Linked DNA regions of Caenorhabditis elegans. The protein of the gene in region 2 purifies or fractionates together with the protein of the main gene of each other region. This does not show direct contact. Each region holds a gene or a part of one and is shown on either strand. Other genes may lie near its edges. The genes, in order: F20C5.5 and C53B4.2.

The links.
Region 1: the proteins of C53B4.2 (region 2) and F20C5.5 fractionate together in Caenorhabditis elegans (co-fractionation; one large-scale study listed by BioGRID). This does not show direct contact.

Annotation. Positions count from the first base shown.
Region 1 is NC_003282.8:8,764,694-8,776,215, forward strand, and holds F20C5.5 (PACT_coil_coil domain-containing protein), read right to left. Parts: upstream 4,947-11,522; coding exon 3,192-4,946; downstream 1-3,191. Other genes in the region: cdc-50.B (Cell cycle control protein 50A), read left to right, coding at 187-244, 292-426, 855-988, 1,309-1,504, 1,594-1,748, 1,795-2,017, 2,429-2,613; F20C5.6 (ELKS/RAB6-interacting/CAST family member 2), read right to left, coding at 7,261-7,574, 7,638-7,832, 7,958-8,495; C33D9.6 (Protein CASP), read right to left, coding at 11,002-11,348, 11,393-11,449.
Region 2 is NC_003282.8:8,961,167-8,972,451, reverse strand, and holds C53B4.2 (DUF4776 domain-containing protein), read right to left. Parts: upstream 6,270-11,285; 5' UTR 6,242-6,269; coding exon 6,218-6,241; intron 6,170-6,217; coding exon 6,116-6,169; intron 6,058-6,115; coding exon 5,718-6,057; intron 5,673-5,717; coding exon 5,239-5,672; intron 5,143-5,238; coding exon 4,798-5,142; intron 4,750-4,797; coding exon 4,618-4,749; 3' UTR 4,454-4,617; downstream 1-4,453. Other genes in the region: C53B4.3 (Major facilitator superfamily (MFS) profile domain-containing protein), read left to right, coding at 47-328, 649-801, 852-1,010, 1,073-1,216, 1,290-1,487; suex-2 (Major facilitator superfamily (MFS) profile domain-containing protein), read right to left, coding at 1,887-2,006, 2,085-2,177, 2,227-2,520, 2,566-2,680, 2,722-3,026, 3,190-3,472, 3,608-3,690, 3,735-3,826 and 2 more; tpra-1 (Transmembrane protein adipocyte-associated 1 homolog), read right to left, coding at 7,369-7,596.

The DNA.
Region 1 (11,522 bases), 200 kb from region 2:
ACTCTTATTTTCTGACTGTTGACTTTTCCATTGTATAGACTCAATTTTACTTTCGTTTTTTCAATTTTTTTTTCTGCGAAGTTCGGTGTTAAACCTCCATTTTGCAATATTAAAAATTTCAATATTGCCCGTTTTGGCTTGAATCTATTAAAATTATGCTGTTTTTTTTTCAGAAAGCACCAAAACATGCCAGATGATATTCCAAAATTGCCACGACACAGAGGAAAGAAAAATCAGCCGAAAGGTTTGAAAAATTTAGAAAAATCTGAAGTTACTTTTTTAATTCTTTAGACACACCTTGGAAACAACAAAAACTGCCTGCTTTACGGCCTCATTATAACATAACTTCAGCAATTCCAGTTACTCTGATAACAGGAGTAGCCACGTTGGCAATGGGAATTGCTCTTTATTTCGGACATAATGGATGTGAGTTTTTAGAGTTTATTATCCCAAAAACAAAAATATCAATTACTCTTTCCTGGTAATAAGTAAGAAAAAGCTAAAGAAAACAAATTTCTTGTCAAAATTTTACATTGTAAACCGATAGCAACAAAAAACAAGTGTCATAAAAACTGTAAGAAAATCGATAATTTTGCTACAATTTCACAAAGCTAAAAAATATTTTTTATTTTACCGTGTTAGTACCGGAATGTTCTGCACTTGAGCCTTACTATTAGTTACACAAAATGGATCAATTTTGAGCAATTTGTTGTGAATCTGACAATAATTAGTCCTATTGATATAGCTTTAGGCCACTCATTCGTGTTCGTAATTTTCGTTTTCCTTGAACTTGTAAAGGTACAGTTTTTGAAAACAGGGATGTAGTCCAAGTAGTCAAATATTGATTCTTGTAGCATTAGAACAAGAGATTGTGTACACGGATTGTGCTCTTTCAAATGGAACACAAGCTTCACGAATTATGAGAACTGAAATGGGAAATCAAACATTTAAATGTGCATATACAATTACTTTGAATGACGATTATACTGTAAGTTGAGTTTTAATTTTTAAATCATCAAAGAAAACATATGTATATTTTTGCGAAGGAAATTTTGGATCTGGTCTTAGGATGAAACGACATTGTAACATTTTGATTAAAGAGCCCTTAGTTGGAAGTGAGTGTATCTGGTAAAAACACAATTCGAAAATATTTAACCAAATATGTATAAAGCCTAGGTTGAACCTGCTCTGCAGTTCCTAATTTTTCACATTATTTTTCTTCAAAATATTACTATGATATTTCAAAGCCCGGGGTACCATCTTAAAATCATCATTTGCAAGTATCACAATTAATGTTCAACATTACAGGGCGAAGTGAAGTTTTATTACGGTCTTTCCAAGTTCTATCAAAACAATCGATTATACTTCAACTCACGAAACGATCAACAGCTACGTGGAAAAGTTACTGAAACTGACGGATGTGATCCATTAGAATATGTGGATGTTAATGGAACTAAAGTTCCCATTGCGCCGTGTGGGAAAGTGGCTGATTCAATGTTTAACGGTGCATTTCAATTGATTGCTTAATTTCAGTATTGCAACATTTTTCATTTTTTATAATACATCTAACTTCAAAATTTGTTTTTTTTTCAGATACCTTCGAATTATTTTATATCAATGATAAAGCCTCAAACGCGGTAACACGGGTTCCATGGACAACTCGTGGAGTACTCGGTGCAACTGAAATGAAAAGAAAATTCAGAAATCCGATTCGAGCGGAAAACCAGACATTATGTGATGTGTTTGCGGTTGAAATGAAATAAGAAAAAAAATAAATTAAACTCCATCTTTTAGGGAACAATGCCTCCGCCATCATGGAGATATCCGATCTGTCAATTGGGACTAAACAGTATTGATCCAGATGTTGGCATTGGTTTCGAGAACATTGATTTTATGGTTTGGATGAAGGTTGCAGCTCTTCCAAAATTCAGAAAACTGTATAGAATACTGAATCGACAAGTTGATATGTTCAGTAATGGATTACCTAAAGGACAATATCAGTTGACCATTAATTACAGTATGTTTATGTTAATGTTGAATTTATGTATTTATGCAAAAAATTTACTGCAAAAGTTCACAATAATTCCACCCAAACCTGCTTAAATATGGAGATGCAAGTTTTTTGTTTCAGATAAACAGTGGCTCCAAAAAACCAATCTTTGTTATAAAACCTCACAAAAATTTCTCGATATTTCTTTATTATGGTTCAAACTTTTGAGAAAAAAGGGAAATTTAGAAAATTCTTTCAAGCGAAATTGTCAAAATTTTTCAAAACCAAATTTGATTTTCCAGATTTATTTTTTGTCGACTTGACAATAGTAAAGAAAAAACAAGTTGAATTTTTCTATATGAATTCTTATAGCTGAACATTTTTGATCAATTTGAAAATAATCAATAGACAATTTTTCTCCATACTACTGATTTTCAGACTATCCAGTGGATATGTATTCGGGCGACAAGTACTTCGTTATAGCCAATGAAAACTGGGTTGGACCCAGGAATCTGTTTCTACCAGTAATCTATTTGGTTGTTGGAACATTCTTACTTCTCGTTACTATTCTCTTCATATTGATTTGGTTAAAACAGAGACTGTCGAGGGTTCATCCAACATGAATTGGAAAAACTAATTGAAAATAGACGGATGAACTTCAAATTTGTTTACAAGAGTTGAAGTCTCAAAATAAGCTGGTAGCATGTATTGTACGGGAACAGATTTGTATACTTTGCTTTGTAAATAAAATAAAATGTTATTATATTAGTCTGTAATTTTATGTATAGTTCAATTTAATTGAAATACATAATACCCCCTTCAGTTTATCAATTAAAGCTCCAACTATCATTCGCTGGTTGAGATTAATTGTCGAGTGAGGGCATCTGAAATGTAAATTTAAAATTACAAAATAAATAATTGTAAGTGCTATCAGATATAACAAATGATCATTTAATTAAGGAGGAAAAACAAAACATTAATTTAAAAAATTTATCAAAAAACAAAAAAAAACGGTCAAATATTTTTTCAAACAAACAAAGTAAAGCTAATTTCTATTAAAGTTGATCTAAATACTGGTTGTGTAGGCATACTATAGTTGATTTCAACGGGAAGAAGGCCAAATCAGCAAGTGTACATTGTGTTCTGAAAAATTGAAATTCAACAGTTGAATATAAGTAGAAACTCTACCTATTGCTAACATTTATTGCAATTCTTCTGTGTTTTGAACAATATCGAGATCGCTCCATCCATCGGATAATTCCGTATGATTTGATGACATCTCATCTACAGCTTCCAATTCTCCAATTATCTGATCCTTCAGTTTCAGCTTAATATCAAACGATTTTTGAATTTCCTGGATATTTGCTTCATAAACTCTCGAGATTTCAGATTTAACTTGTTGAATCTCTTTAAATTGCTCTGAAATCTTCTTCTCAAGAACTCTTTTCTGATAATATAGCTCAGTGATTTCTCGAGTTCTTTCTTTCATAATCATTTCAGTATTCATTTGTTCTTCTTTAACATTTTCTTCAAGTTTTTCAATCTTTCGTACATAATCACAGAAATGATCAACCACCTGCAACCATTGCGGGTCATTTCGCATAGTTTTGAGTCCTCCGGGTTGTTCAAGAATTGCGACAAGACTTTCTGTCTGTTCAAGTTTCAGTTTTTCTAATGTTTGCTCAAGTGGGAATTCTCTGACCTCCTGGTTTGCCTCTTCGGAAGGATCAGAAATTTTTTCAGAATGGAACGTCAAAATTTCTTGTTCCAAATGGGGATATGTTCTACTAGTCCCTTGACTAGAAGTCTCACTAGAGATTTTAAGTGTCAGTTCTCGAACATTACGCTCCAATTTCGGAGAATTTCCAGATTCAGTGCTCACATGACTCTTTAATTTGACAATCTCATCATTCTTATCAAAGATTTGATTTTCCAGTGCAGAGACCTTCACTTGACAATCTTTTGTCTTCCATGACAATTCATCTGCCAACATCTTGATCATGTTCTCATTCGAATCAATCGTTTTTTTCATATCTTTTATCATGTCTTCATCAGTTTTGATTGTAACATTTTGCTTTGAAATTTCACGTTTCACAGAATTCAAAGCAATTTTCAAAGAATTGTTGAAATTTTCGAGCATCAAACTTTCAACACCTTCGGATTTATCATTCTTGGCAACATTCCGATCATTATTTAGTTCAGTTGATATAGAATTGGTATCATCAACTGAGAATACTGTTAAATTCTGGTGTTGAAGTTCCAAAAATTTCTCCATGACTTTTTCAATACTATCCTTCTGATAAACATTGAAGGATTCTTGAAGCATTTTAATCTCTTCATTCTTTTTCTTGAGTTCGGAAAACAGAATATTCTTTCTTTTTTGGAATTCCACTGTCACTAAGAGATAATCATCTTTGTTTTCCAAAGATGTAACCAGCTGCGATGGATTCAAACTTTCCAAGTTTTTCGTAAGATAGTCAACTTCGTCTTCAAGTTTTTGAATGATCTGTTTGTTGTCTTCCATCTTTTTTGTTATAAGTATAGGATCCTTGAAATAAAGAGAAAACGTGACTATGATCTTGTCAATAGTTTCCAGCAAGTGGAAAATGTCATAATAATCTCCATCATTTAATACTTTTAATTTGTCCAAAAGTTGATCCATCAACTTCTCTTGTTTCGGTGTTTCATCACCAATTAATATTCCACCGTAACCGTTAACCGGATATGGCGACAAATCATAAAATTGTTTTTGAAGATCCTCATATTTAGTTTTGAGAATTGAGAAATCTTCATTTCTCATTATCAACAACTTCTTCAATCTTCTAGCTTCTGTCTCTGCTTTTATTTGGAAAATTTCGAATTGCATTTCAGCTAGTATTATCTCATCTTCTTGTTCATCGATTAATTTCTCAACTTCTTCTTTTAATTTTTTGATATTTTGATCTTTTTCTGCCATAGCATTTTGAAAATCTTCTAGTGTTGCAAACTGATATTCAGTGGATGTACTCGTGGATTCTTGAGTCGAAATTTCAGTGTTCTTGTTTATTCGTTTTACTTCGGAGCTTCTGACTATTTTCTCTGGAGTCCAAAACTTGTCTACTTCCAAAAAATGTGTTTTTTTGCTTCTGAAAAACATATATTAAGTAACATCTTTAAGATATTCAGGTGCACTTACATTTTTGAAATATTTGGTGACAAACTTTGAATTATCAATCTGAATTCTTCTGCGGTTCCAGTGAAGCAAGCATAATTCTGAAAATAAAAATTACAGCTTTTGAAACCAATGAAACGAAACAACTATTGTATTTAAAAAATGCTCACTTCAACTCCATTCTCTTCCACCGCTGCTTCTTTTTTCACACTTTTCCAGTTTATCAATTAAAAATTCAAGTTTCTGTTGTTCAGGTGAAGGCTGAGATGCTGTGAACGACATAGTTCTGAAAATAGTTAATTTAAATGTAGCAGAAAAATCTTTTCTAGAAAGTAAAAAAAATCAGTAAAAACAAGTACTAAGAGAAATTGAATAAACCAATCACAATAATGACTTCTTAACAAGCTGAAAAATAATGCAATAGCAAAGAAAAACGAGTAGTTTCGGTAACTCCATAGTACATTATTTCGTTATTGGGATCATCATATCATTTATTGATGAGGATATTATGAGTTAATTCTAATAACCCGAGAGTAAAGGCAAAAAATAGCATGGAGTGAAAAAACGGATCAAGCAAAGAAATCGTGTTAACTTTTATAACATCTAGTTGACACTGTCAGACCAAAAACTTAATAAAATTTTCACTTGTACATAACAGCTAGCTGAAACTGTAATTTAATTTTATATTCCCTCGGTCAATTCTAGCTAAATTAGCGATTCTGAGCTAAGCCTTCATTTCAAAATTAACAAAAAAAATGCAATGAAATTTTCACTTGTACATAACAGCTAGCTGAAACTGTAATTTAATTTTATATTCTCTCGGTCAATTCTAGCTAAATTAGCGATTCTGAGCTAAGACTTCATTTCAAAAATAACAAAAAAAATGAATTGAAATTTTCACTTGTACATAACAGCTAGCTGAAACTGCAATTTAATTTTATATTCCTTCAGTCAATTTCAGCTAAATTAGCAATTTTGAGCTAAGTGTTGTTGTTTCTTAAAACAATGCAAATTTTGATGGTTTTTCGTGTTCAGTGAACAAACAAACAAACAAAAAAATTCTGGTAAATAACCACAAGCTGAAACTGTGAGATAATTTTTTAGTGACCATTGAGTGACTGCTCATAGACAGTGGCTTGGAATTAAGACTAGAATGATTATCTCTCATGATAACATATTATACAGAGAAGTTGGGAAGAATGTAGGTCATTGTAAAGCGACAGACAGGTCGCATTGATCAAAGAGAATATAAGTCGAACTCTTTCGTTTGGTAACTTGAGGGCCAATGTTATTTGCTATTAGGGAAAATTAACATTTAAGGAGCAAAGGATTGCAAACAAAATGCGATAAGATATATGATTATAGTATTTTATCTTTTGTAAGTGTTGCCATAATTTCAGTAACGAAAAAAATAACAAGGCAATTTTAGATGTTAGGAAAATCGAATTTGTCTGACTAGCCAACGAATGTTCTCAATTGAAGTTATTGTTCTTTTTTAAGATGTTTTCATACAAATTAGTCAGTTTTCGAAGCTTCAGCCACACTTATCCGAATTGAGCAATTTCAAAACTATTTTTTGTAAAATAAAATACATCTCCGAAAATTTACATCGAGTTCCCAACAATACTGTATGGATAGAAAATACCTACCAATACTGCACATGAAACGCTCTGAAAATAATCGGAAAGGAAATGAGAACCTTTTAAATATAAAATGAGCACAATAAGTAATACTAACTTTATTGAGAAAGAACATAATTGTTATGAGAATAGTTTTTAAATGAGGTGAGAAACAGAATATCCCTGAGAATAAGTGAAGATACTTGAAAATTTGTGAAATAGTAATAAGTAAAATGTTTTCACATTAGTATAAACAATGACAGAGTCACGCAAAAGTACGGGAAACATATGAAGTTTATAATACAGTGCAGTACAGAAAAGGTACAAAGTTTACAAGAATACAATTGTTTTTTAAAAATAATTTTTTGTTGAAGGCTTAAGGTAATACGATTAAAGAGCTACTTTCTTCCAATACGAAGTTGAATTTAAAATTTAAAAGGAAAAAAGGAAAAAAATTAAAAAGCATATGAAAAATCGGGGCGCATTTTTAGTGCAAAAAATTAGATGGCATTTATTTTATCCCATCCATCTGAATCTTCACTGTGTGTGGATTTATTGTCGTCATCTTGATCGATCATTGTATCATCAGCTTCTCCTTCTTGATTGATAAGAAGACCTTGCAGTTTTTCCGAAAGTTCCGAAATCTTCAAATCCTTCTCTCTCAATGCATCATGCATCTTCTGAATTTCAGCGGATCGTTCGCTATTTTGAATAAGTTCCATCAGACACTCAATTTTGCTATCTTTTTCCATGATTTCTCTTTTATGATTTGCAATCTGTTCTTCTTTTGATTCACATTCTCTCTTTGAATTGGCTGAAATAAAAGAAAATGCTTACAGATGTGTGTAAAACCCCTAGAAAACTTTCACAAGCTTACCTGTCAATACTTCAAATTGCCCCAATAAGTTGTGCTTCCACTCTTCAGTTCGAAGTTTAAGATCTTCAACTGATGTATTAAGCGTGGCTTTTTCCTGCTGAGTGTTTGCAAGTTGCATCTCTAACGCCATGACGGTCGAGTTATGTTGATCCAAAATATGACTGATGTCTTGTCCCACATGTTTTTGGCGTTCTTCTGAAAATTATAGATGGTAATTTTTAATTAATACTTTAATATATAATAGAACAGCTCGTTTTTTCAATCAACTTCATCTGTTTTCTAACCAATGTTGGCCAACTTTCAGTAAAACAATAGCTTACCTTCAAGATCGGATTCCAATTTAGCAATTCTATCTTCCGCTCTTTTGGCACGTCTACACATCTTTCCTGTATTCATATCCGCTGAGCACAGTTCTTTTCTCAACGTACGAATCTTTGCCTTCTTTCTCTCAACATCACCATCGATCTGTTTACGAAGATTCGAAATTGTTTTGTTTTTTCCAAATATTTCTTCTGAATGAATATTTTCCATTTCTTCCTTCTGTTGAATCAACATGCGGCTCTCTTCCTTACACCTCTCAATTTCTTCTGATTGCTTTTTGAGTAACTCCTCCTGATTTTTGATAGTTGCCCGAAGCTCACTACCACATTCTCCAGGTTCCAAAAGTTGCTGCTCAAGTTGAATAATTCGTGCTTCACTCTCTCGAAAATCTTTTTGAAGAATCTCCGTATGTAGAGAGCATTGCTCAATAAGCTTATCTCTCATCACCAATTGTTCCAAAGTTTCCCATTGTTTCTTTTCCAATTGATCGATGTCGATTTTCGCTTGTGCCAATTCAGCTTTCAGGTTGTCCATCATACTTTCCAGTCCAAGTTACTAAAATATCAATTTAGACTCCATGTATTGAGGTAATAAAAAAGGTATTTGAAAAGGTGTAAAACCTTCCAAAAATCACAAGAAGTATTTGAAAAAAATGTAAAAATTTTATAACGACGAGGTTGAAAAAAACACTGAAAAATCAAGTAAAGCCCTGAGAGGAAATAGGTCGAAATGGAATTTTAGAATTATTGAGGAAAAGATTCAAGAATATGATATACAACTTACACGAAGAATTTACAATTTTGAAGAACAAAGGAAAATGAATAAAAATGCAAAATAGTTAATTTGAATATTAAAATAAATAGAATTTGACAGAAAAAATTCAGAAAATTGAAATTACGAATTAAAAAAGCTTAAGCATCGCTCATATGATCCCATCCATCTGATTCTTCACTTTTCAATGATCTACTGCACGAGCCCAAGTTAAACAAAGCCTGAAAATTCGGTTTTCCCACTTTGTCCAGGTCTTCAAAATAGAATTTCAAAACAACAAATCAACGAAAATTCGAGAAAAAAAATTAAAAACTCATTATGTATTAATTGAGAAAAAAAAGGAAAAACAAAAACGAAACAAGATGAAAATTAGATACCAGAGCTTGCTACTTACAAAATAAACAAAAATATTTACATACATGTTGCATCACTAATAAAATGAACTTAACGTATCAGTTAGAACATGGAAAAATGGAAATCAAATGTCATTCATCAGATCCCAACTATTAGATGCTTGACTCTTTGAAGATTATCCGTCAGAATCCCCATCGTATTCGAATTGCTGCAAATCCTCCACTTTTGTTTCTTTGTCCCGATTAATCAGAAGTCCTTGAAGTTGCTCGGTAAGTTTCGAAATTTGCTCATCTTTCTCTTTCAGAGCTTTTTGCATTTTCTGAATTTCTTCATTTTTCAGACAATTCTTCATGCTTGCGATAGGATACGAGGAAGAAGCTAAAACAATTTCTTCAGAGTTAATCAGATATTATTAAAACAAAAAAGCTCACCTTCCAACTCTTCTGAAGAAATAACTCTTCTCTTTTTAGTTCCACTAGAACTATGGGAGTTGGTTTCCATTGCATTATCTTTACTGCTCGCTTTTCCTCTATTTTCTGAGTGGTAGATTAATTCGATGTCAGGATCCCTCTGTTTCATGAATTGAGATGATAAACTTTGTGATTTTTCTGAAAATATAAAAACATACTTTTCTGTTCTTGCATTTTTCCGGTAAACATGTTCATAAAAATTTCTTACCATTTCGAGACTGTGCTTCTCTCAAGCTATTTTCTCTTCTCTCGAGCTCTTTTCTCAATCTTAAAATTTCTTGGTTCTCATGCTTTCAATATACTTTTCAAGCTTCAAAATTCTCTCATCTTTTTCATTCATCAGTATCTTATTCTCTGTTGTAAGCTTCTGGATCTTCCACGTTTCAGATTGTTTCTGAGCTTCAAGACTTTCCTTCAAAATGTCAATTTCACTATCTCTAGCAGGCGATGAACGAAGTTTCAAAATTTCTTTCTGAAGCATTGAACATAGTTCATTTTGATTTGGAAGTTGCTCCAGATAATTCAGCCGTTCATCTTTTTCTGCCAATTTTTTCTCGAGATCTTCGATTCGCTGAGTAAGCTTCAGATGATGCGCTTCCTTAAGTTTGAGCTGATCCTTTGCATTTCTGTAGTTTTCTTCGAGTTTTTTAGTCTTCAATTTATTATTTTCAAAAATCATCTCAATTTGATCATTTGCCTGCCAGAGTTCAGTTTTCAAGCGCTCATGTGCATTTGCAGACTTTTGAAAATCCTGAAATATAGTATTTTAATGAGTAAAGAGCTTATTTTTAAACCTTTAGTATCTTGAACGGATTATCACTGTCAAGAAAACCACTTCCAGGAAAAGCACCAGAGATATATTTTATCAAAAGACGTCGTTCTTGTTTTTCTTTTTGTTTTGCCACCTCACAGCGCAAGCATTTAGAGTTCTTCCCGTTCACTTTTTTGATATTTCCTGAAGAGGGAACGGTGCCTTTACGATGAGCTGTAGAGCTTGAAGCTTCAGAGTTACGATCGTCCATGCTCATCTTCCTGCTGACTGGTAAATTTCTTTAAAAGTGTGTCGAAGTTCTGTAATAGAAACAATATTATATCAGAATGAAAATACAAGAAAAAAAAATTCGATATTCAAACGGCAATGATAACCATCTATTGAAAAAAAGCAAACCACATGCTTTGAAATATAAAGATTTTTTTGAATAAGAAATATTGACATAGAAAATATTCCGCCCATGTTTTTATCGGTTTTATGTAGCTGAAATTTCAAAACCAACTGTGGAATTGTGCACGGGGGAACTTTAAAAAGGTCATCAGTGGGAAAACAATATGAGAAAAAATGTACATTCCTGAGTAAGTTGAATATTTGAAAGGTAGAAATATGGAAAATGAAGAAACAAAAATAATACATCAAAGCAACAAAATTGGATCATTAAAAGAGTGAAACTAACTCAAAAAATATCATCAATTTGGTCCCAACTAGAAGTTTCACTTTTTACCGACTCTCCATCCGATTCGTCGTTATAATCATATTCATATTCTTCTATTGGATCCTCTTGATCCACGCGTTTATTATTCTGATTGGTCTTTTGTTTGAGATCAGAAACTGTTTGATCTTTCTCTTTCAGTTGGGCCAGCGCCCCGTGGATTTTTTTAGCTTCCATAAAGTTACCCGAAACATCCTCTGAAGGTCCTTCTGTATTAATTAACGTGGTAACATCTTTCTTCGTAGTTTCGATTATTTTTGCTAATTCCAAAAACTTTGCATCGTCCAAATCTTCATAGTTGTGGAATAAATCTTTAAAAAGGCAACGATATTGAATTGAAGACTCAAATCTTTACCTTCAGGATCGTCAACCATTCGACGTTTTTTCGGTCTACCAGATGGGCCTGGGGCTTCTGAAAAAAAAAGATTGTTAAAAATTGGATATCAAAAAGTCATTTCTGTAATTTGAATTAAAAAATTGTCTAA
Region 2 (11,285 bases):
CTTTCAAGATATCTTAGGCTTAAGATAAATAATAGTCAAATTTCAGGATTATTATTCTCTTCTACTATCTCGTATTCCCGTAGTTTTTATGCATGGACAGCAAGCCCATCAAACTCTTTTATCAGCACTTACAACACCCGGAAAAGAGAGAACAAGTGCATTTGGGAGAATGGGACTTACATTTGGAATAGGTTTCATCTTTGTACCAATATTCTCAATTGCTGCCACAAAACTTGGAGGAGATCTTGCTCCACTTCTGGTTTCTGCTGCACTTTGTGCTCTTCCATCATTAGTTTTGGAAACGTGTATTGAGAAAAAATCATATGAGGTTAGTTGCAAAACACACGCTATTGTTAAAAGTGAAGTATCGAATTCTAGAAGTCGACCAAAAATTTTTTCTTCGATTGCTATATTCTAATAATCTGCATTCATGTACTATGGGGTTCAGACCTGCAGCAGTAATTGATATTTCTAAAAAGTTTTTTTTTTTAATTTGGAAATTTACCAACACAATGACTGAAAGTTTTTGAAAAATCTACACGATTTTATATGTAATCAGGCTTCCACGACCAATACTCCACCTTCAAAATATATGATATATCCACCAGTTTTCATATCTAGAAATTATAAGCTTTAAAAATTTTCCAGCATGAAATCTCAACGGACAATGCAAATGGTCCACCACCTCAAATAAACATTACAAATGTTGTTCGCATTCTTCAAAAGCCTGGAGTAGCAAATGTTATGATTAAGAAAAATGGTGGAGTTGTTCCTTTCATTATGATAATTGCAGTACTGAATGTGAGTTTCAAATTGTTAATTTCACAATTTAAACTCTAGCGTTTTTACAGTTATACATCATTGAGAAATTCAATGCTACCAATACAGAAAATCAAATAATGCAGATGATGATGGGTGTATTTATTATGTTCTCTAATGGATTCGGAGTCATTTGGCTTAGAAAAAAATTTGATGAGCAAACACTTTTAATAATCGGATCGTTGAGTTTTGTAAGTTACATTTACTTTAAAGTTGTGCTAAAGATTCAAAGTTTATGTATGATTATTTCCAGGTTATTGGCTACACTTTATTCACATTTGTCTTTTTCAATTTCTGGATGCTTCTTGTTATAATGCCATTTGTTTCTCTTGGAATGAGTGTAGTTGCAACATGTGCAGATAGTCTTCTCACAGCTTTAGTTGATGAATCTGAACAGGTTAGGAGTTTTCTTTTAGTTCAGTTCCACTCATTATTCACAGTGTTTCAAATGAGGTAATTCAACATTTCAGGGAATCGTACTGGGCACGGCCACATCTTTAAACTCTCTTGTTCGTACTTTCTCTCCACTTTTTGCTGGTTATCTTCTCCAAAACTATGGATTCCAATCACTGACTCTTCTTGGAATTGTTGGATCTCTTTTAGCAATATCATTTATGGTTGTGTCGCCGGTCGACGAGAATCTCATTAAGAAACACAAAACGGATTAATTGAGTTTAGAGTGTAGTACCGAATAGAATATTTTAATGATCTTGAACTGTGATCGATTCGAACTGTGATAATTTTAATAAATCTATGTCAATTTTTATTTTTTTATATTAACTAGTAGTAAACTTCACAAAAAGTACAACTGGTATGCACCAACTTCTTTTTTCAAGTTGATCTACTTTGACAGCTCATATCTCGATTCTCTTTGAGTTTATCACAAATTAGTTGACTTTTAAAATATTTAAAAGAAGAGACGCCTTGACACGTATTTTGAATGATTGAAATGATTTTTTCAAAAAAAAAGTTTAACTTAAAGACAGCGATGAGACATGCAAATGGAGCTATGGGGGTGTAAGACTTATAATAAAGTTCGCCTATTACTCAATTTCGCTGTCAAAGAATTAATTATTTGAATAATTTTTTAATTGTATTGTCTGGTTTGGCATTTCTTCTTCATTGTGAGCTGAAGCTATGTTATCATTCGTTTGTCCAATCATTTTCATATCAGCTTCTCGTGATTCCTGAAAAGTATTATTTACAGTTTTCAAGAAGTCGACTATTTAGTTTTTTGTAGTTCTAGAACATTTAAAACTGTATACCTCTAACTTGAAAAACACAAGAATCATTCCAATCGTACATATTGACAAATTAATGAAGAATAGTGATGGTTCATATGCAAACTTCAACGGCTTCTAAAACTTTTCTGCTCACATCTCCGTGAAATGAATATAATTAATTTACCGTTAAGGTTGCCAAAATAGTTCCAATTTTCATACAAATGTTGGCAGTTGATCCTGCAGTGGCTCTAACATCAGTTGGCATAAGTTCCACAAGAGAAAGATATGCAGCTTCCAGACAAAGAGATTGAGTAGCATAAGCTAATGTATAGGCAGAAAGATATAAGAATGAGCCCTTCCAATTTAAATAAAGACATATCAAAATACAAATGTAACACAGCATAGCAATAAATTGAGCGATAAGAAAGAGAACTCGGCGGCCTAATCCTGTTAAATATGGCTCTGTCATACCAATTATCTGAAAAAATGGGATCATAAAGAATAAATGATTAAATAAACTTACAAATTGAGCGATTGAGAGTACTAAACCGGACAAAAACTGTCCCAAATATAAGTTTTTTGTCATATCTGCTCCATTTAAATCTGTGATATAAACTGCTAACCCAACATAGAAATACCTGAAAAAACATATTACCTACTATCATTCAAAGTTAATTACATAAAAATAATCATAAAGAAACTGTTTCGGAGCTTCGGATCTTTCAGAATTCTCGTTGGCGTGAACTTTCTATTTGCTACGACAGTACTGTGTTCGTTTGAATAAAACTTTCCAATTTTTCGCAAACGTTTTCTGGCTTTTGATGCATTTTTGTATTTTTGTTTTTGATCCAACCAAATTGGACTTTCTGGGAGATAAATAAGGATTGGAAGAGATAAACATGAAACTGCTGCACAAATATAAGTTGCAGTCTTCCATTCTTGAGATATGTATGCAAGGCCAACTTGAATCATTCGAGCGTTTGGCTAAAATAATTTACAATTGAAATAATTTTCACTGATTAAAACACGTCTTTTAAAGGTAGAGAAGCACCAAAAATTTTTAATTGTTTAACTTCTTTAAAAATTGTCAAAATTGTTTTTATAGCGCGAAAATTGAAAACTCTATTGAAAGTATCACATAAGTTACCCAATTGGAAAATGCCAAAATTCTTAATCTTCGATTAGGTGATATCATTTCTGTGGCATACGTCCATCCAACAGTAAGCGTTCCAGACACAGAAATTCCAATTAAAATACGAAATATGTAAAATGAATATATGTTTGTGATTGCAGCTGACAGAACAACACATGGAATTCCAAAAAGTAGAGATGATAGATAAATTGTTCGACGGCCATATTTATCTGCCAGGAATCCAAGTGCAATGTTTCCAAGTAAAGTTCCAATAAATGTAGCGGTGGAGAGAGAAAATCTATGTATACATTAAAAATTGTTATAATTAAAGTTTTTTTTTAATTCAAAAAAGAGGATTTCAGATTTTCACAATTGAAATCTCAACCAGAAACCAAATATATTTTGATGAATTTGAATGAAAATTGAAAATCACCCATTTAGGCCTGTACAATCTTGTTGATATTCAAATTGTGCACTTCGAAAAAACAATCTACTGTGATCAGCAATGCACTTGCTCTGTAAAATTAGATTTTTATGAGTAAAGTTTTTTTCAAACAAACTGCATTCTCGGTCATATTGACCGGACATAAATTCTGAGCATTATGGTCATAATCCATCAAGCATTTACTTTGTAGTTTGTAGCAAAAATTGTCTGAAAAATTCATTTAAAATTTTTAAAATCAGCTATTCTTACCATCTGTACAATACGTGGAAGGCATAAAGTCTAGAAAAATTACAAATATCAGCTGAGCTGAGAAGATTAGTGTTATTTGATATAACACCATTACAGTAATATCCAAACGCCATGACCCTAAAATATAGACAATCTAAAAGTTACAGAATTACCATAACATTAAAATGTTTAAACTAAATAGTGAAACATTAAACAAAAATTATCCGTACCTGACATATCCTAGATATTATCTCCTCCAATTTATAAATGTGTGTTTTTTAAAATATAATTCAACGAAACAGTAAAAATTCCAATAAAACAAAAACTGTTTTTAAACAAAATGTCCGTGCAAAGTCAGTAATTTATTCTGGTTTCACATGACAAAACTGCCTTGGCAATGCAGAGTACCGGACTAAAGTAAGTATTCATTGTGTTTTTCAGGTTTGAACAGTTGTAAATAGTGTTTTTAAAGGCACCTTTAACAAAAATAATTAACTCATCCATATACCAAAATATTTTAATTAAAAACAATTAGTCATGCATTTTATTGATATATCTTATCATATTTCAGCGCACAAGACGTCCGATTTCCGTCCGATAACCTTTTTTAATTTTTTTATTTGCGTTTCAAAATCTGAGAGAAAACCGGACGAACTGGAACTGTTCAGTCAGGTTTGGCAGTGCTAATAAAAAAAACAAAGTATTTTTAAAAGTGATTTATCAGTGATACTAATCTTGAAAATAAATAAAACAGTTCTAAAATATGGAAATCAATCGAATACTTCATCTTCCATCTCGACGTTTGTTGTTGGTGGCTTTTGAGAAATCGATTTTGGAGAAGATACATGCAATGTCTGATTACGTTCTTTTGCTTCTCGAGCAGAAAGAATTGGACGGGATCTCTGAAAAAATAAAACATAGATTCATACCAGGAGAATGAAATCGGCTACCTCGTAACTAAAAATTCTAGAAATATTTTCGGCCATTGTTACATTATTTCCTTCTAATTGAGTTGCCTCTTCCCTTTCTCCCTCGTCATCTTCATTTTTTGAGCTAGATTTTATCGGTTGCAATTTCTCCATAGCCGGTCCTTGCACATTAATAAGTGAACGAACGGTATTTGAAAAAACGAGATGTGGATGAAAGAACTTTTCGTCAAGTTTCATGAAAAGACAAGATGGCTGATATTCGTCAAGCACCAGTTTCGCGGATTTGATAGTTTTGAGTGTAAGTTTCCCTTCATGAAATGATTCGACATGATCACTTCCAACTGATATGGGCGGTTCCACGTCTTTCTGAAAATTTCACCAGTTATTTTATGAAGTCACACGGTACTCAAATTGTTCAGAAAAATGTGGTTTTTGCAACATCACACTCAAAAAATAACTTACGGTATCATCTTCATTTGGTTCAACATATGCTGCCCAAAATGGGACATAATCAGTCTCTCCCTTTATGTAGATATTCTGATCCGACATCTTCTCTACAACCGACAATTTTGGCACATAATCATACGAGTCTTCCACAGGAACAATTGTTGCTGAGTTGTCTTTTTTAACTTTTGATTCTTTGAATATGTCATCAACTGTTCCATCATCAGTTAAAAGAGTCAGTTTCTCTTTAGTGGTGTATTTAGAAAGATACGGCTTTTTAACAATTCGATCCATAAACATTTTGGATTTATCGTCAAGAGGGGATGTAGCTTTTATCGATTGAGATTTGTTTTCTTTCAATTTTTTCAAAAGTTTTTCCATTTCCTTCTGATCTACGTCACGAGTTTTGATTGATACTTTCTGGGGCTTTCCCTTTTGATTTGGTAGTACAACTGAAATCATTAGATTGAAAACTAAAAATCGATAGAGTAACTCACTGTTACTCTTTTTCATTCCTAAATCTCCATCTAAATCACTATCTGATCCTGGACCCATATTCTCTTTTCCTCTTGCTCGAGAACTTTTCTTTTTCTCTTCTGACAGTTTCTTCAATGGCGCACTCGAATCTTTTTTCTCGTCTTTCTTTTCTCCTTCTCCTTTTTCTTCCTTTTTCTCTTCCTTTTTTTCTTCCTTTTTTTCATCTTTCTTTTCGTCCTTTTTATTTTCTTTCTCTTTTTTATCTGGAGGGGATAATACCGCAGCTTTTTGCACTACAGGTTGCACTACTGGTTGTTTGGTCCTTCTCATTTTTCGAGATACTGACTTTGCTTTCGACTTCTATATTTCGAAGTTTATTTAAACTGTGAACATTTTTATTTGTGCAAATTAAACTCACAACTACAGAACTTCCATGTTTATGCCTAGATTGTCTAGATTTGCTCACGAATCTCTGGAAATATTAAATATGGGAGAGCACATCATAATATTCTTGACTCACTTTTGCTTTTCCCTTTTCGTCCATTTTGCGGGAGTCTTCTGAATAGAAATGATTCAAAAAATTGATTTTTTTAAATTTCCACGAGGCTTCCGCTTGATACATAATAAGTTTAAACCACGTGATCTTTTTAAATTTAAATCTAAAACATCTAGAAAATTATTGATGATCACGGGATTTTTGTTAACGGTATGTTGTGTCTGAATGGGAACGGAGTTTTTATAATTTATATTGGTTGTAGCTAATTTCCCATGTTCATGGGAGAAAAGGGGCGTTGTTTCTCCAGAAAACCCATAAAACAGAACATTAATTTATTGAGAGCTTCCAGGTAGTTTATTTCTACTTCAGGAAATGGGTTGACCGAAAACTTTCCAAAATTCCAAAAGGGCGCGAGATGAATTCCCAAACGTTACCACGAGGACTCGTAAGCAATAAAAGTTGTCGGAAACGGGCATTTTTTAAAGATTAGTTTTAACTTTCATTACTAACTTTCACCGTTTGTACTAACTTTATGAAAAATTAAAAATTAGACATGCTTCATCTTGCCCGCGTATTTCTCCGATAAATGAGTAATTTCTTCATTTTTAAAAAGTTTAGGATTTTTTTTCCTAAACTTTTTAAAAATGAAGAAATTACTCATTTATCGGAGAAATACGCGGGCAAGATGAAGCATGCAATTTCGGTAATTACTCTTGAATTGTTTCATCGTTTCAACAATATTTTATTCAAAACGTTCGTAAAACCGTACATAAAATAAAAATAATTCGAGAACTTTTCCACTTGAAAAGCCTGAATAAAAACAAGATAAAAGCTGTGTGATCTGAAAGTAATACAAGTAATCAAATGATTGGTTGAAAGTGCCTATTCTATGTACAAATACAGGTAACCGGTCACATTAATAGACAATGAACGAGAGGAGTCAATATGATCCAAGTGATAATCTTTTTGACAATTATCGGTGTTTTTTTCGTAATGAGACCCAAAGGATGTGAGAATGAGAAATGACCGGGAGGAAATTAAAAACTTGGGGAATATGGAAAATCAAGATTGATTGTAGAAAATGAAGTACATGAAATGGGGAAAATATTGTGCATTCAAAGAGAAATACCAGTTTCTGTGAACGCATAATAAATTGAAAAAGAAAAAGGAAAAATCTACATTCGAAGGCTTGTCAGTGATGATGGATCATCTTCGAAAACAAGTGAACCTTGTGGTCCAAGTCCTTTTAAATGACGAGTTGTTGTTCCTGTTGATGGTTCGGAGAGCATTGAATCTCTGTGATGAGCATAATCATCTGATCCAGTTCTTGTGGTTACTGTAGATTCGGCAGTCTCCACTGATGTCATTATAAGTGGAGTTGAATATGTGTTGTAGTGAGGATTCTGAAATTTAAAATAAAGTAAATTATAAAAACTTGTTTGAAATTAGGGCCAGTTGATTTTGAATTTTTCGTTTTTAACTGATCATCCAGAAAACGGTATTCTTCTATTAGTCTTGCACCTGAGTGAACAACTTTGATTATTCATCAAATATTTAGATCAAATATTTCCCAAATTGTTTAACTATATGAAATTAAATACTAAATCCTTTGTCAGTTGGAAATTTTTAATTCAGAGACTAGCGGGCCCTGCGGGCCCGCCAGTTGTAGGGGGTGTAAGGCGAGTCCCCTTGCCGGGCGTAGGTTCACGGCTTCGCCTCGAACCTGTTAGAGGGTTTGTGAAAATTTCAGTAGGTCAATGGGAGTCTTCTTAATTTTTGAGTTCGGTTTGACCAAAAACAGATGCACCCGATGAATCAGTTAAAGCTGAGTTTTGATTGATTGAAGTTTGAAGAGGCTTTATATTAGGGGAGACGTACCCATATTTTGTATAAAATCGAGTATTTCTATTCGAATCCCGATTACTCACAAAAAACAAAAAAATTTATCACTTGGTAGAATTGAACCAACTACCAAAATTTCTGCAGTCATACGCACTAACCACTGGGCCACACAGGTAAGCCGCCATAAGCGAATAACAGGTCAAAAATAGGTGAAGGGCCGCTAACAGACGAATAATAAGCGAGCGACAGGTTTACTGCCGCGCACAGGCGAAGAATAGGTGAGCGATGAGTGAAATTTTTGTCTTGCAAATTTTATGCGCAGATAGGCGAAAAATAAGCGAGCGATAACTGAACGGACCGGAAACATGCGAATAATATGCGAATGATGACTAAAGTTGTTGACTTGTGAAATGTTAACACTGAAATGGAAAAATTGATGAAAATAATTTTTTTCGGAAAAATTTTTAATTTGATTTTTGTAGTGGGCTAGTTTTCGATAACGGCAAATGTCTACAATTCTCGGAAAAATAGTTCGTTTTGGTCTATATTTTATTGGGAATGGTTATGTCTATGACAACAAGACAAAATTCAGATATATTCTAGATATAAGAGATGTTTTTGGGTCTGTAGGTTGTAAATACCTTCCTCTCGTTATTGTTTTACGACATCATATCGTCTCATATGTTTCTTCTAATGTTTACATTTACATCCTAATGACCCAAAAACAGGATTTCTGGGAATATGTATTTGATTCTTTGTTGTAGATATTTTATGCAATACTCACATGGAAATATTGTGAGTAGCACTATGTACAGACGCATTCCCTAGATAAATTTTGAGAGAAGATGTTATATAACCGTCTTACGTTCAGAGACTTATAACTTGGTTGGCGTTTGAATTAATGAAATGTGGTCAACTAAAGAGTTGTTGACAATAATACAAAGAACATTTTGTCAGTTGGTATATTTTTGTTATCTTTAGTGACTGTCGAGATGTGAGCCCCAAAAGATGGCCAAAATATTCTAGATCTGTGCTCAACTTTATCTCGGTTCTCGATAGAGATGAAAAAATGATTACAACTATCAAAATGTTTATTGCTTTAAGCTTAAAAAGGTTGTAGTTGGTGACTTTTTGATATATCGTCTTTTGAAATTGATACAACCGTTTTAAGACAGGAGGTTTTATTGTTCAGAGCTCCAAGGAAAGTCTGTTTCAGTGATCGAGAGCACCGAATTTGTCAAGAAAATGCATAAAACCAACAAAATTGACATATTTCTACAATAACTGATAAATATTTGATAATATTTGAAAAAAAATTTTTTTGATTTTTTCGAAAAGAAAGTTCAAAGGGTCTGTTTATATCTCCGTGGAAAAAATTTTTATGATTAAGTGATTAACTACAAAGTTGTTTATTTTAATTTAGAGAACAATTTTGCAGTTGACCGTTTGTTGCCAAAAAATTTGTTGGTTGAGATATGAACGGAAAAAGAAGAAGAAAATACTAGCATAAACTCGCTGCACTCAACACAAATTTATCTCAATCACCAATTTTTTTCAGGGAGAAGAATCAACTACAAAATTGAACTTCAGATCTCAAACCCGTTTTAGAGCATTCAAATAAAAGAAACATCAAATTTTGGCGATTCTACAACATCTTGTCAGTTTTTAAAAAGTTTCCGAAAAAAAAAATTTTTGGATAAATTTCAAAAAAATTTTGTAAGGGGGGACCCTTTGCATTTTTTTTTCAAAATATCGAAAAACATTTTTTTTCGAAACCTTTCTAAAAACTGACCAGATGTTATAGAACCGTCAAAATGTGATGTTTCTTACATTTGAATGTTCAAAAACAAGTTTGAGATCCAAAATTGAGGTATAATAGAACCACTATGCTCAAAAAACGTATTCACTTCGGATGCTTATATCTCCGCGGAAAAAATGTTCATGATCAAGTGATTAACTACAAAGTTGTTTATCCTAATTTAGAAAACAACTTTGTAGTTGACCGGTTTTTGTCAAAAAATTTGTTGGTCGAGATAAAGTTGTGTAAAGTTGGGCACCTTCATGCTTGTATTTTCTTCTTCTTTTTCCGTTCATATCTCAACCAACAAATTTTTTGGCAACAAACGGTCAACTGCAAAATTGTTCTCTAAATTAAAATAAACAACTTTGTAGTTAATCACTTAATCATAATAATTTTTTCCACGGAGATATAAGCAGACCCTTTGAACTTTCTTTTCGAAAAAATCAAAAATTTTTTTTTCAAATATTATCAAATATTTATCAGTTATTGTAGAAATATGTCAATTTTGTTGGTTTTATGCATTTTCTTGACAAATTCGGTGCTCTCGATCACTGAAACAGACTTTCCTTGGAGCTCTGAACAATAAAACCTCCTGTCTTAAAACGGTTGTATCAATTTCAAAAGACGATATATCAAAAAGTCACCAACTACAACCTTTTTAAGCTTAAAGCAATAAACATTTTGATAGCTGTAATCATTTTTTCATCTCTATCGAGAACCGAGATAAAGTTGAGCACAGATCTAGAATATTTTGGCCATCTTTTGGGGCTCACATCTCGACAATCACTAAAGATAACAAAAAGATACCAACTGACAAAATGTTCTTTGTATTATTGTCAAAAACTCTCTAGTTGACCACATTTTATTAATTCAAACGCCAACCAAGTTATAAGTCTCTGAAAGTAAGACTGTTATATGCTCAATCAACTCTAATTTAGATGTTTGTTCAACTGAAAATGTAATATGAATGTTCAGACTTGTGGAAACTAACAAATTTGTCTTTTTCTATAAATATAAACACTTTTTGAAAAATTTTCTATAAAAATATTTTAGGTGAAAAATTTTTTCAACCATAAGGGGGGACCCTTATGATTCGAATTTCATAATTGAAAATTCTACCGAAAAAACAATTTTTTTTGAAAAAATTCTCAAAAACTTCTTCGATATTGTGGAAGTAACTAAAATGTATTGTTTCTGTAAATTTTAATGAGCAAGTTGCCTTATTATAGAGTATAGAACTATCTTTTAGCATCGACCCTACGACTTGGCTGCCAAAGAGGCAACGATACTCCGAAATTACGGGGTGCGCGTTGTTTACATTTTCATTTTTTTTAAACGATTTTTCCGTTTTCTCATCTTTTTTCAATGTTTTAAAACAATTTCGCTTGTATTTTATGCGATTTTCATGACAAAAAATGTCGATAATTTTTGGTTTTCTCATATTTATCA